Linked DNA regions of Saccharomyces cerevisiae S288C. The protein of the gene in region 1 interacts with the protein of each later gene in a biochemical or structural test. Each region holds a gene or a part of one and is shown on either strand. Other genes may lie near its edges.

Region 1 (3,494 bases):
TATGTACAACACACATCGGAGGTGAATATAACGTTCCATATCTATTATATACACAGTATACTACTGTTCATAGTCATATCCTTTTCTTACCTTCTATATCGAATGACTGATAAAAAAACGTGAGTCACTGTGCATGGGTTTAGCAATTAATTAACTAATTTACCGGAGTCACTATTAGAGTCAGTTCGACTGCCTAGAAGAACTGCTGGTTGTCAGGATTGTGATGGGGGCATTCTGCTGTATTATGACCCATCGTATCGCAATGCTCACACCACTGTTGTCTTCCTGCCGTGGTATCGACTGGTGCAGGGGGGTCGAAAATTGGCAACGATTCCACGGCTGTTTGTGCTTGAGCCTGTTCCAACTGTTTGATTTTTTCATTAGCCTCTTCAAGTTTTTTCGTTAAGGATGCCACCTCTTCCGATGAGGAATCTTGTGGTTTTGTCAAAAATAGTTCCTTGCTCAAATTTTGGTATTCTTTACTGAGCGAATCGTTATGCATTTTCAATTGTTCGCGTTCTTTAGCCCACTTTGTCTTGTGTAACTCAAATTGGTCTTCTATGTTGCGTAATTGTTCCAGCTGTTTTTTCAGGAGTTCGACATCTTCGTTGGCACCAGTGGGTTGATTATGAGAAAGATTTCTCTCTTCGTTTTCTTTGATCTCTTCGTGTAGTTGGCTTACGACAGCAAGTAGCTGTTCATTCTCAGCGTCAAAAAACTGCTTTTGTTTGGCTTGCTGTCTGCGTTCGAGCTCCAATTGTTGCTTGAGATGGTCTATCTCTTTCTCTCTTTCTTGTATTGTGGCTTCATACCTATCAAAAGTCGGTTGCACTTCTTCGAGGACCATTCTTTGGTCATCGAGTAGCCTTTTGTAGTGTAGTTGTTTCCTTTGTAGCTTTTCGATGGTCAATTGGGCTTCTCGTAATTCAATTGTAACTTCGCTGCTATTGAGGTCATTCATGTGGCCATTGTCCGGTTTCCAATCGCTGGTGGTGTTGTGATTAGCCTTTCTGTCTGATGACAGGATAGAGTCGACCTCCATTCTGTCTTCTCTGTTATCGTAACCAAATTCTTGCTGTTGATGGTGATCCGATGCCTCCTGGTCCATCGACTGTTGATTACCGCTGTGCCGACTGGTGATCCGGAAACTTCTCATGGGTGTGGGGGATTTAGGATCATCCATGGGAGAGAACTGGTTAGTGAGCCTCACAATAGATCTGTTTTTGGGTATTGATAGCGGTTCCATTGTCGTTCTTCTCGAGGTTTGCGATATCGATGCCTTCTCGATCAATGATGCGACTTTTTGCAACTGAATAAATAGTCCACTTTGAGGATACTCCGTTTGAAAATACTTCTTCCCCATGAATGATCCATCGTTCTTACCAATGTTGGCAAGTAAGTCTACACCAGCAAACATTCCAGCTTTCGTGTCCACTGGACCCACGTATTTCAGTTGTCCGCGCCCCAAATTTGGGATTTGTATGAAACATCCTATCTTTCTTTGATATCTATCCATGGTATTTCAAACGCATACACAGCCAGCCACAGCTCAACGCCTTTTACCTTGTCCTTTGATGCCTGTCTCGTCCAAACGTTTTTGGTGTCTTGGCCAATTGCCCTTCTGAAAAATCTCACTGTCCGCAACTCATTAAAAGATACCCAAGCAAGCTACACGATAAAGAAAGGAGAAAGTTCATTAAAAGAACGTACATATAGCGATACAAACGTATAGCAAAGATCTGAAATGGATACGGATAAGTTAATCTCAGAGGCTGAGTCTCATTTTTCTCAAGGAAACCATGCAGAAGCTGTTGCGAAGTTGACATCCGCAGCTCAGTCGAACCCCAATGACGAGCAAATGTCAACTATTGAATCATTAATTCAAAAAATCGCAGGATACGTCATGGACAACCGTAGTGGTGGTAGTGACGCCTCGCAAGATCGTGCTGCTGGTGGTGGTTCATCTTTTATGAACACTTTAATGGCAGACTCTAAGGGTTCTTCCCAAACGCAACTAGGAAAACTAGCTTTGTTAGCCACAGTGATGACACACTCATCAAATAAAGGTTCTTCTAACAGAGGGTTTGACGTAGGGACTGTCATGTCAATGCTAAGTGGTTCTGGCGGCGGGAGCCAAAGTATGGGTGCTTCCGGCCTGGCTGCCTTGGCTTCTCAATTCTTTAAGTCAGGTAACAATTCCCAAGGTCAGGGACAAGGTCAAGGTCAAGGTCAAGGTCAAGGACAAGGTCAAGGTCAAGGTTCTTTTACTGCTTTGGCGTCTTTGGCTTCATCTTTCATGAATTCCAACAACAATAATCAGCAAGGTCAAAATCAAAGCTCCGGTGGTTCCTCCTTTGGAGCACTGGCTTCTATGGCAAGCTCTTTTATGCATTCCAATAATAATCAGAACTCCAACAATAGTCAACAGGGCTATAACCAATCCTATCAAAACGGTAACCAAAATAGTCAAGGTTACAATAATCAACAGTACCAAGGTGGCAACGGTGGTTACCAACAACAACAGGGACAATCTGGTGGTGCTTTTTCCTCATTGGCCTCCATGGCTCAATCTTACTTAGGTGGTGGACAAACTCAATCCAACCAACAGCAATACAATCAACAAGGCCAAAACAACCAGCAGCAATACCAGCAACAAGGCCAAAACTATCAGCATCAACAACAGGGTCAGCAGCAGCAACAAGGCCACTCCAGTTCATTCTCAGCTTTGGCTTCCATGGCAAGTTCCTACCTGGGCAATAACTCCAATTCAAATTCGAGTTATGGGGGCCAGCAACAGGCTAATGAGTATGGTAGACCGCAACAGAATGGTCAACAGCAATCCAATGAGTACGGAAGACCGCAATACGGCGGAAACCAGAACTCCAATGGACAGCACGAATCCTTCAATTTTTCTGGCAACTTTTCTCAACAGAACAATAACGGCAACCAGAACCGCTACTGAACGATGATTCAGTTCGCCTTCTATCCTTTGTTTACGTATTTGTTTATATATATAACTTTATTTTTTTTTATTAATTGGGCTGCAAGACAATTTTGTTGTCAGTGATGCCTCAATCCTTCTTTTGCTTCCATATTTACCATGTGGACCCTTTCAAAACAGAGTTGTATCTCTGCAGGATGCCCTTTTTGACGTATTGAATGGCATAATTGCACTGTCACTTTTCGCGCTGTCTCATTTTGGTGCGATGATGAAACAAACATGAAACGTCTGTAATTTGAAACAAATAACGTAATTCTCGGGATTGGTTTTATTTAAATGACAATGTAAGAGTGGCTTTGTAAGGTATGTGTTGCTCTTAAAATATTTGGATACGACATCCTTTATCTTTTTTCCTTTAAGAGCAGGATATAAGCCATCAAGTTTCTGAAAATCAAAATGGTAGCAACAATAATGCAGACGACAACAACTGTGCTGACGACAGTCGCCGCAATGTCTACTACCTTAGCATCAAATTACATATCTTCGCAAGCTA
Region 2 (4,331 bases), on another chromosome or scaffold:
ACCAAACTGGCCAGAGAGGGCAGCAAGGATATCCTCGCCAACCACAAAGGCCACAGAGATACCATCCCCATTATGGACAAGTGCACGTTGGCGGGCATCATCCTCGTCATCATCCATTGTATAGCAGATACAATGGTGTTCCTAATACCTATTACTACCAGTTCCCTGGACAAGCCTATTACTATAGTCCTGAATACGGTTATGATGACGAGGATGGTGAAGAAGAGGACCAAGACGAAGATATGGTGGGTGACAGCGGCACTACAAGACAGGAAGATGGTGGCGAGGACAGCAACTCGAGAAGATATCCATCATATTACCATTGTAATACTGCCAGGAATAATAGGACCAACCAACAGGCAAACAGTTTAAACGACTTATTAACCGCGTTAATAGGTGTTCCACCATATGAAGGCACTGAACCAGAAATTGAAGCAAATACCGAACAGGAGGGCGAAAAGGGAGAAGAAAAGGATAAGAAGGATAAGTCTGAAGCACCCAAAGAGGAAGCTGGCGAAACCAACAAAGAAAAACCTTTGAATCAGCTGGAGGAATCGTCGAGACCACCATTAGCCAAAAAATCTTCATCGTTCGCTCACCTACAAGCGCCTTCCCCAATACCTGACCCGTTACAAGTATCCAAGCCTGAAACGAGAATGGACTTACCATTTTCACCAGAAGTGAATGTCTATGATACCGAGGACACTTACGTAGTTGTTCTTGCGTTACCAGGTGCTAACTCTAGGGCTTTCCACATTGATTACCATCCATCTTCTCATGAGATGCTCATCAAGGGTAAGATCGAAGACAGAGTGGGCATTGATGAAAAATTCTTGAAGATCACGGAACTAAAATATGGTGCGTTTGAGAGAACCGTTAAATTCCCCGTGCTGCCACGCATTAAGGACGAAGAAATTAAAGCTACTTACAACAACGGTCTACTACAAATTAAGGTGCCTAAAATTGTCAATGACACTGAAAAGCCGAAGCCAAAAAAGAGGATCGCCATTGAGGAAATACCCGACGAAGAATTGGAGTTTGAAGAAAATCCCAACCCTACGGTAGAAAATTGAATATCGTATCTGTTTATACACACATACATACATTTATATTTATAATAAGCGTTAAAATTTCGGCAGAATATCTGTCAACCACACAAAAATCATACAACGAATGGTATATGCTTCATTTCTTTGTTTCGCATTAGCTGCGCTATTTGACTCAAATTATTATTTTTTACTAAGACGACGCGTCACAGTGTTCGAGTCTGTGTCATTTCTTTTGTAATTCTCTTAAACCACTTCATAAAGTTGTGAAGTTCATAGCAAAATTCTTCCGCAAAAAGATGAATCTTAGTTCTCAGCCCACCAAAAGAGGTACATGCTAAGATCATACAGAAGTTATTGTCACTTCTTACCTTGCTCTTAAATGTACATTACAACCGGGTATTATATCTTACATCATCGTATAATATGATCTTTCTTTATGGAGAAAATTTTTTTTTCACTCGACCAAAGCTCCCATTGCTTCTGAAGAGTGTAGTGTATATTGGTACATCTTCTCTTGAAAGACTCCATTGTACTGTAACAAAAAGCGGTTTCTTCATCGACTTGCTCGGAATAACATCTATATCTGCCCACTAGCAACAATGTCGGATTCAAACCAAGGCAACAATCAGCAAAACTACCAGCAATACAGCCAGAACGGTAACCAACAACAAGGTAACAACAGATACCAAGGTTATCAAGCTTACAATGCTCAAGCCCAACCTGCAGGTGGGTACTACCAAAATTACCAAGGTTATTCTGGGTACCAACAAGGTGGCTATCAACAGTACAATCCCGACGCCGGTTACCAGCAACAGTATAATCCTCAAGGAGGCTATCAACAGTACAATCCTCAAGGCGGTTATCAGCAGCAATTCAATCCACAAGGTGGCCGTGGAAATTACAAAAACTTCAACTACAATAACAATTTGCAAGGATATCAAGCTGGTTTCCAACCACAGTCTCAAGGTATGTCTTTGAACGACTTTCAAAAGCAACAAAAGCAGGCCGCTCCCAAACCAAAGAAGACTTTGAAGCTTGTCTCCAGTTCCGGTATCAAGTTGGCCAATGCTACCAAGAAGGTTGGCACAAAACCTGCCGAATCTGATAAGAAAGAGGAAGAGAAGTCTGCTGAAACCAAAGAACCAACTAAAGAGCCAACAAAGGTCGAAGAACCAGTTAAAAAGGAGGAGAAACCAGTCCAGACTGAAGAAAAGACGGAGGAAAAATCGGAACTTCCAAAGGTAGAAGACCTTAAAATCTCTGAATCAACACATAATACCAACAATGCCAATGTTACCAGTGCTGATGCCTTGATCAAGGAACAGGAAGAAGAAGTGGATGACGAAGTTGTTAACGATATGTTTGGTGGTAAAGATCACGTTTCTTTAATTTTCATGGGTCATGTTGATGCCGGTAAATCTACTATGGGTGGTAATCTACTATACTTGACTGGCTCTGTGGATAAGAGAACTATTGAGAAATATGAAAGAGAAGCCAAGGATGCAGGCAGACAAGGTTGGTACTTGTCATGGGTCATGGATACCAACAAAGAAGAAAGAAATGATGGTAAGACTATCGAAGTTGGTAAGGCCTACTTTGAAACTGAAAAAAGGCGTTATACCATATTGGATGCTCCTGGTCATAAAATGTACGTTTCCGAGATGATCGGTGGTGCTTCTCAAGCTGATGTTGGTGTTTTGGTCATTTCCGCCAGAAAGGGTGAGTACGAAACCGGTTTTGAGAGAGGTGGTCAAACTCGTGAACACGCCCTATTGGCCAAGACCCAAGGTGTTAATAAGATGGTTGTCGTCGTAAATAAGATGGATGACCCAACCGTTAACTGGTCTAAGGAACGTTACGACCAATGTGTGAGTAATGTCAGCAATTTCTTGAGAGCAATTGGTTACAACATTAAGACAGACGTTGTATTTATGCCAGTATCCGGCTACAGTGGTGCAAATTTGAAAGATCACGTAGATCCAAAAGAATGCCCATGGTACACCGGCCCAACTCTGTTAGAATATCTGGATACAATGAACCACGTCGACCGTCACATCAATGCTCCATTCATGTTGCCTATTGCCGCTAAGATGAAGGATCTAGGTACCATCGTTGAAGGTAAAATTGAATCCGGTCATATCAAAAAGGGTCAATCCACCCTACTGATGCCTAACAAAACCGCTGTGGAAATTCAAAATATTTACAACGAAACTGAAAATGAAGTTGATATGGCTATGTGTGGTGAGCAAGTTAAACTAAGAATCAAAGGTGTTGAAGAAGAAGACATTTCACCAGGTTTTGTACTAACATCGCCAAAGAACCCTATCAAGAGTGTTACCAAGTTTGTAGCTCAAATTGCTATTGTAGAATTAAAATCTATCATAGCAGCCGGTTTTTCATGTGTTATGCATGTTCATACAGCAATTGAAGAGGTACATATTGTTAAGTTATTGCACAAATTAGAAAAGGGTACCAACCGTAAGTCAAAGAAACCACCTGCTTTTGCTAAGAAGGGTATGAAGGTCATCGCTGTTTTAGAAACTGAAGCTCCAGTTTGTGTGGAAACTTACCAAGATTACCCTCAATTAGGTAGATTCACTTTGAGAGATCAAGGTACCACAATAGCAATTGGTAAAATTGTTAAAATTGCCGAGTAAATTTCTTGCAAACATAAGTAAATGCAAACACAATAATACCGATCATAAAGCATTTTCTTCTATATTAAAAAACAAGGTTTAATAAAGCTGTTATATATATATATATATATATAGACGTATAATTAGTTTAGTTCTTTTTGTACCATATACCATAAACAAGGTAAACTTCACCTCTCAATATATCTAGAATTTCATAAAAATATCTAGCAAGGTTTCAACTCCTTCAATCACGTTTTCATCATAACCCTTCCCCGGCGTTATTTCAGAATGTGCAAAATCTATTAGTGACATGGAACTCAAAGAACCAGTTGTTTTTTTGTCCTTTGGTCCTTCGCTGCTTCCCTCGGCATCATCATCATCATCATCATCATTATCATCATCGTCGTCATCATCGTCTATAAAATCATCTCGCATAAGTTTGTCAACATCATTTAGTAATTCCCATCGCTCCGGGTCTCCTTCGTAAATAAACAAAAGACTACTTGATATCATTCTAACTTCTTCTTCTAGCATAGTATTATAAAACAACTGCAATCTTTTCAAAAATGTTTTCTTCAGTTGATGCTTTCTCGCATCCGACAGATGAGGATTGTTAAAATAAAGTTCAATTGCATCTGAAACATTT
Region 3 (3,676 bases), on another chromosome or scaffold:
GTGTAGTGATCTTTTGAACTCATCTACATCTTTCAATAACAAGCTAGAGCTACACCAGTATATTTCGGAACAAGAAAAACAAGCTTTGAAGGCAAAACTATTAGAGGACCTAGAAAAATCCCAACACTTAGAAACCAAAAAAGACAAGAATTATATTAAGGCGCTTTTCAAGGACGCTTGTAATTTTTTGACTTTATCTGAAGAAGTACATTTGCGTAGGAAATACTTAAAGTCGGTCTTCCCCGAAACAGATAGTACGGTTGAAACCAAAAGCGGGAAGAAGTCAATTGTGTCTAGACGTTTTGATTACACCAAAAATAAAGTTGAAGTCATTGCTAGAAGTAGGCGGGCTTTTTTGAGCAAGCTTTGATTTTCTTTCCTTACGCACAGTATGTACACATATAAAATGTTTAAGAATGCCTGTAAATATTACTATTTTGTCGCGCAAGTAGCTAAACCTTTCGTCTACACGAAACTTAAAATTTAGTGCTACATGCAAGGGAATATGTTTATACTGTACATTCTCGTCTTCCTTTCATTGATGATATGCATCGCGATTGCTTTCATTTTGTGAACAATCAATTAACTAAAATGCACAGGATAGTAAAATCTATATTTACAAAAAGGCGGATAAGCAAACACTGAAAATCATAATGTTTTTTGTCACTTCGGTCCTTCAAGCTTGGTAGTTGATAAATTGTAAACTATACATCGTTTAATGCGACACATACAGCTCCCTTGTGGTGTCCACCGTACTGTCTGACAATTTCTCTAGTTGATAAATCCCATAATCTCACGTAATGATCGGACGATGCCGTTACTAGATACGCACTGTCAGCACTAAATGCGCAATCCCAAACCCACCTTTGGTGGCCATCCAATGTCGTTTCTAGCTTAAAATCATCATCAATCGACCACACACGAGCAGTGTGATCCGCTGAACATGTTGCCAAATGTTTTACATCAGATGATAGTAGAATTCTAGTTATATATGTGGAGTGCGCTCTGAATTTTGTTACCGGTTTTAGATGGGATGCGTCAGTATGATTTGGCATTTCCCATACGTAACAATTACCTTTAGTATTTGCTGCCGCTAACATCGAACCATCACTTGCCATAGATAAAGACTGGAGAGAGGTATCGTCCTCAGGTGTCAATTGATGGGTACACTGATTTTCTCCTAAGTCCCAAATTCTTATATTACCATCTCTATCACAAGATATCAACTCGCCTTGGTTAGGATGAATTACGACTTCATTTACTGGTGCGTTATGTTTGTAATTTCTAGGAATGGACGGAGAACGCACATCCCAAACTTTAATGGTCCCATCTTCGCTAGAGGTCACCATCCATCTGTTGTCCTGTTGAAAAGAAACGGAGGTAACGTTTCCCCGATGACCCTCAAAGGATGCTACTGGATTGGGATTTGTCGTCCGAATGTCATAAAGCCGTACGTTTTGATGGCCTGCTGTTGCCAACAACTTTTTATCGTTGGTGATTTCTAAGCGATTAACCTGTGAGTCGGAATGCTGAATTGTTCTTGAACAAACCCCAGTAAGAGCCTCCCAAAATCTTATTGTGTGGTCATAGCCAGCAGATACTAAGATAACAGACATCAATCAGAACTCCTTTTTTATATGGATGACAAGACTGCCACGTTGATCGCTGCGCTAATAATATATGGTTGTCGCACTCTTCTATAACATGATCAGTAATAGCTAGTCGTTACTTTTCTGAATCTTAACGTATTGTGTTACCCTCTTTGGTTTATATGAACGTTCCAGAAACTTCTGGAAAAAGAATGGGATATCCTTTTACGGGTTTTTCAACCACTGTCAGCACAAACTCCTTGCCAAGGTAGTTCGAGATTTAATATATATTGTATAGATTTCTCGTCCCTTTACCGTATTGTTAATCCCTTTTTAAACTTATGCGCTTTCTTGTCAAAAATTCTAATTAATATTATTTAAGCTCTTACACGAATTCTTTTAACGACTTAGAATTGTATAACCATCCAGAAACTCTTCAGAGGATAAAGGATAAGTTGTTTGCATTTTAAGATTTTTTTTTTAATACATTCACATCAATATAATAGAGTATAGTATACAGAACTAATAATGGTCAAGGAGACAAAACTTTATGATTTACTTGGAGTATCTCCAAGTGCTAATGAGCAAGAACTGAAAAAGGGTTATAGAAAAGCAGCTCTAAAATATCATCCAGATAAGCCAACAGGTGACACAGAAAAGTTTAAGGAGATATCAGAGGCCTTTGAAATTTTAAATGATCCTCAAAAAAGGGAAATATATGATCAATACGGTCTCGAGGCTGCTAGATCTGGTGGTCCAAGCTTTGGTCCTGGTGGTCCTGGCGGTGCTGGAGGTGCTGGAGGCTTCCCTGGCGGTGCGGGCGGATTCTCCGGAGGACATGCGTTCAGTAATGAGGATGCTTTCAATATTTTTTCACAATTCTTTGGCGGCAGTTCCCCATTCGGTGGTGCTGATGACAGTGGCTTCAGTTTCTCTAGTTATCCATCTGGCGGCGGTGCTGGTATGGGAGGTATGCCTGGAGGAATGGGAGGAATGCATGGCGGCATGGGAGGTATGCCTGGCGGCTTTAGATCAGCATCAAGCTCTCCCACGTATCCAGAGGAAGAAACAGTTCAAGTTAATTTACCAGTTAGTCTAGAAGATTTGTTTGTTGGTAAAAAGAAGTCATTTAAAATTGGAAGAAAGGGCCCACATGGGGCCTCTGAAAAGACACAAATTGACATTCAATTAAAACCGGGTTGGAAAGCTGGTACCAAAATAACATACAAGAACCAGGGTGATTACAATCCTCAAACGGGCCGTAGAAAGACTTTGCAGTTTGTCATCCAGGAAAAGAGCCATCCAAACTTTAAAAGAGACGGTGATGACCTAATTTACACTCTGCCACTATCTTTCAAGGAATCATTGTTAGGTTTTTCAAAAACTATCCAAACAATTGATGGCAGAACCTTACCTTTGTCGAGAGTACAGCCTGTCCAACCCTCACAAACTTCTACTTATCCTGGTCAAGGTATGCCAACTCCAAAGAACCCATCTCAGAGAGGTAATTTGATTGTAAAATATAAAGTGGACTATCCAATATCACTAAACGACGCTCAAAAACGTGCTATAGATGAAAATTTTTAATAGTAATCCTAAGCAAATATAATTATAAACTCAAATAAATTTATCACCACAGAAATCATATAATATACATCATTAATTTTGACTCAATAATCTTAAATTGCGCGGTGCGGTGCGCGGTAAATTAAAGTTTTTGTATGTCTGCATTACCCTGCCCTCTGGCATATAAATGATGTATGTAAGGAATGGTTGACTTGACAGAAGGTCACCGAGAGGCTACAATTTGTCAGGAACAGTCATTACGTAGGGATTTTCAAAAGTTTGACTGATGTCTACAAATATATTGCAACATGTTAAGCAATTGCTCCATAACAGAGATGTATTTAGCTTTTTTCACAACAAGACTGGAAATCTTAATTACCTAGATAACACAACTCAGAAACCGGAAGTTTTTGTAAGTCCAAATTCTACAATAGTTTCAGCCCCAACTTTGGACTCTTTTCAAGCATTGATGGAGAAAGGTAACTTCACCACTTTGCAACTAGCTAAGGTAGGAATTAGAA

The links.
Region 2: the proteins of RNQ1 (region 1) and SUP35 form a complex in vitro, tested with the Saccharomyces cerevisiae proteins (2 studies listed by BioGRID).
Region 3: the proteins of RNQ1 (region 1) and SIS1 form a complex in vitro, tested with the Saccharomyces cerevisiae proteins (3 studies listed by BioGRID, with this or other methods).

The regions. Positions count from the first base shown.
Region 1 is NC_001135.5:68,406-71,899, forward strand, and holds RNQ1 (prion domain-containing protein RNQ1), read left to right. Parts: upstream 1-1,744; coding exon 1,745-2,962; downstream 2,963-3,494. Other genes in the region: BIK1 (Bik1p), read right to left, coding at 194-1,516; FUS1 (Fus1p), read left to right, coding at 3,398-3,494.
Region 2 is NC_001136.10:806,676-811,006, forward strand, and holds SUP35 (translation termination factor GTPase eRF3), read left to right. Parts: upstream 1-1,648; coding exon 1,649-3,706; downstream 3,707-4,331. Other genes in the region: heat shock protein HSP42, read left to right, coding at 1-1,073; ARG82 (inositol polyphosphate multikinase), read right to left, coding at 3,890-4,331. UniProt on the Saccharomyces cerevisiae protein: GTPase component of the eRF1-eRF3-GTP ternary complex, a ternary complex that mediates translation termination in response to the termination codons UAA, UAG and UGA.
Region 3 is NC_001146.8:618,007-621,682, reverse strand, and holds SIS1 (type II HSP40 co-chaperone SIS1), read left to right. Parts: upstream 1-2,117; coding exon 2,118-3,176; downstream 3,177-3,676. Other genes in the region: mitochondrial 54S ribosomal protein bL27m MRP7, read left to right, coding at 1-370; TOR complex subunit LST8, read right to left, coding at 705-1,616; putative ubiquitin-protein ligase ASI3, read left to right, coding at 3,442-3,676. UniProt on the Saccharomyces cerevisiae protein: Required for nuclear migration during mitosis. It is required for the normal initiation of translation. Might mediate the dissociation of a specific protein complex of the translation machinery. Essential for viability.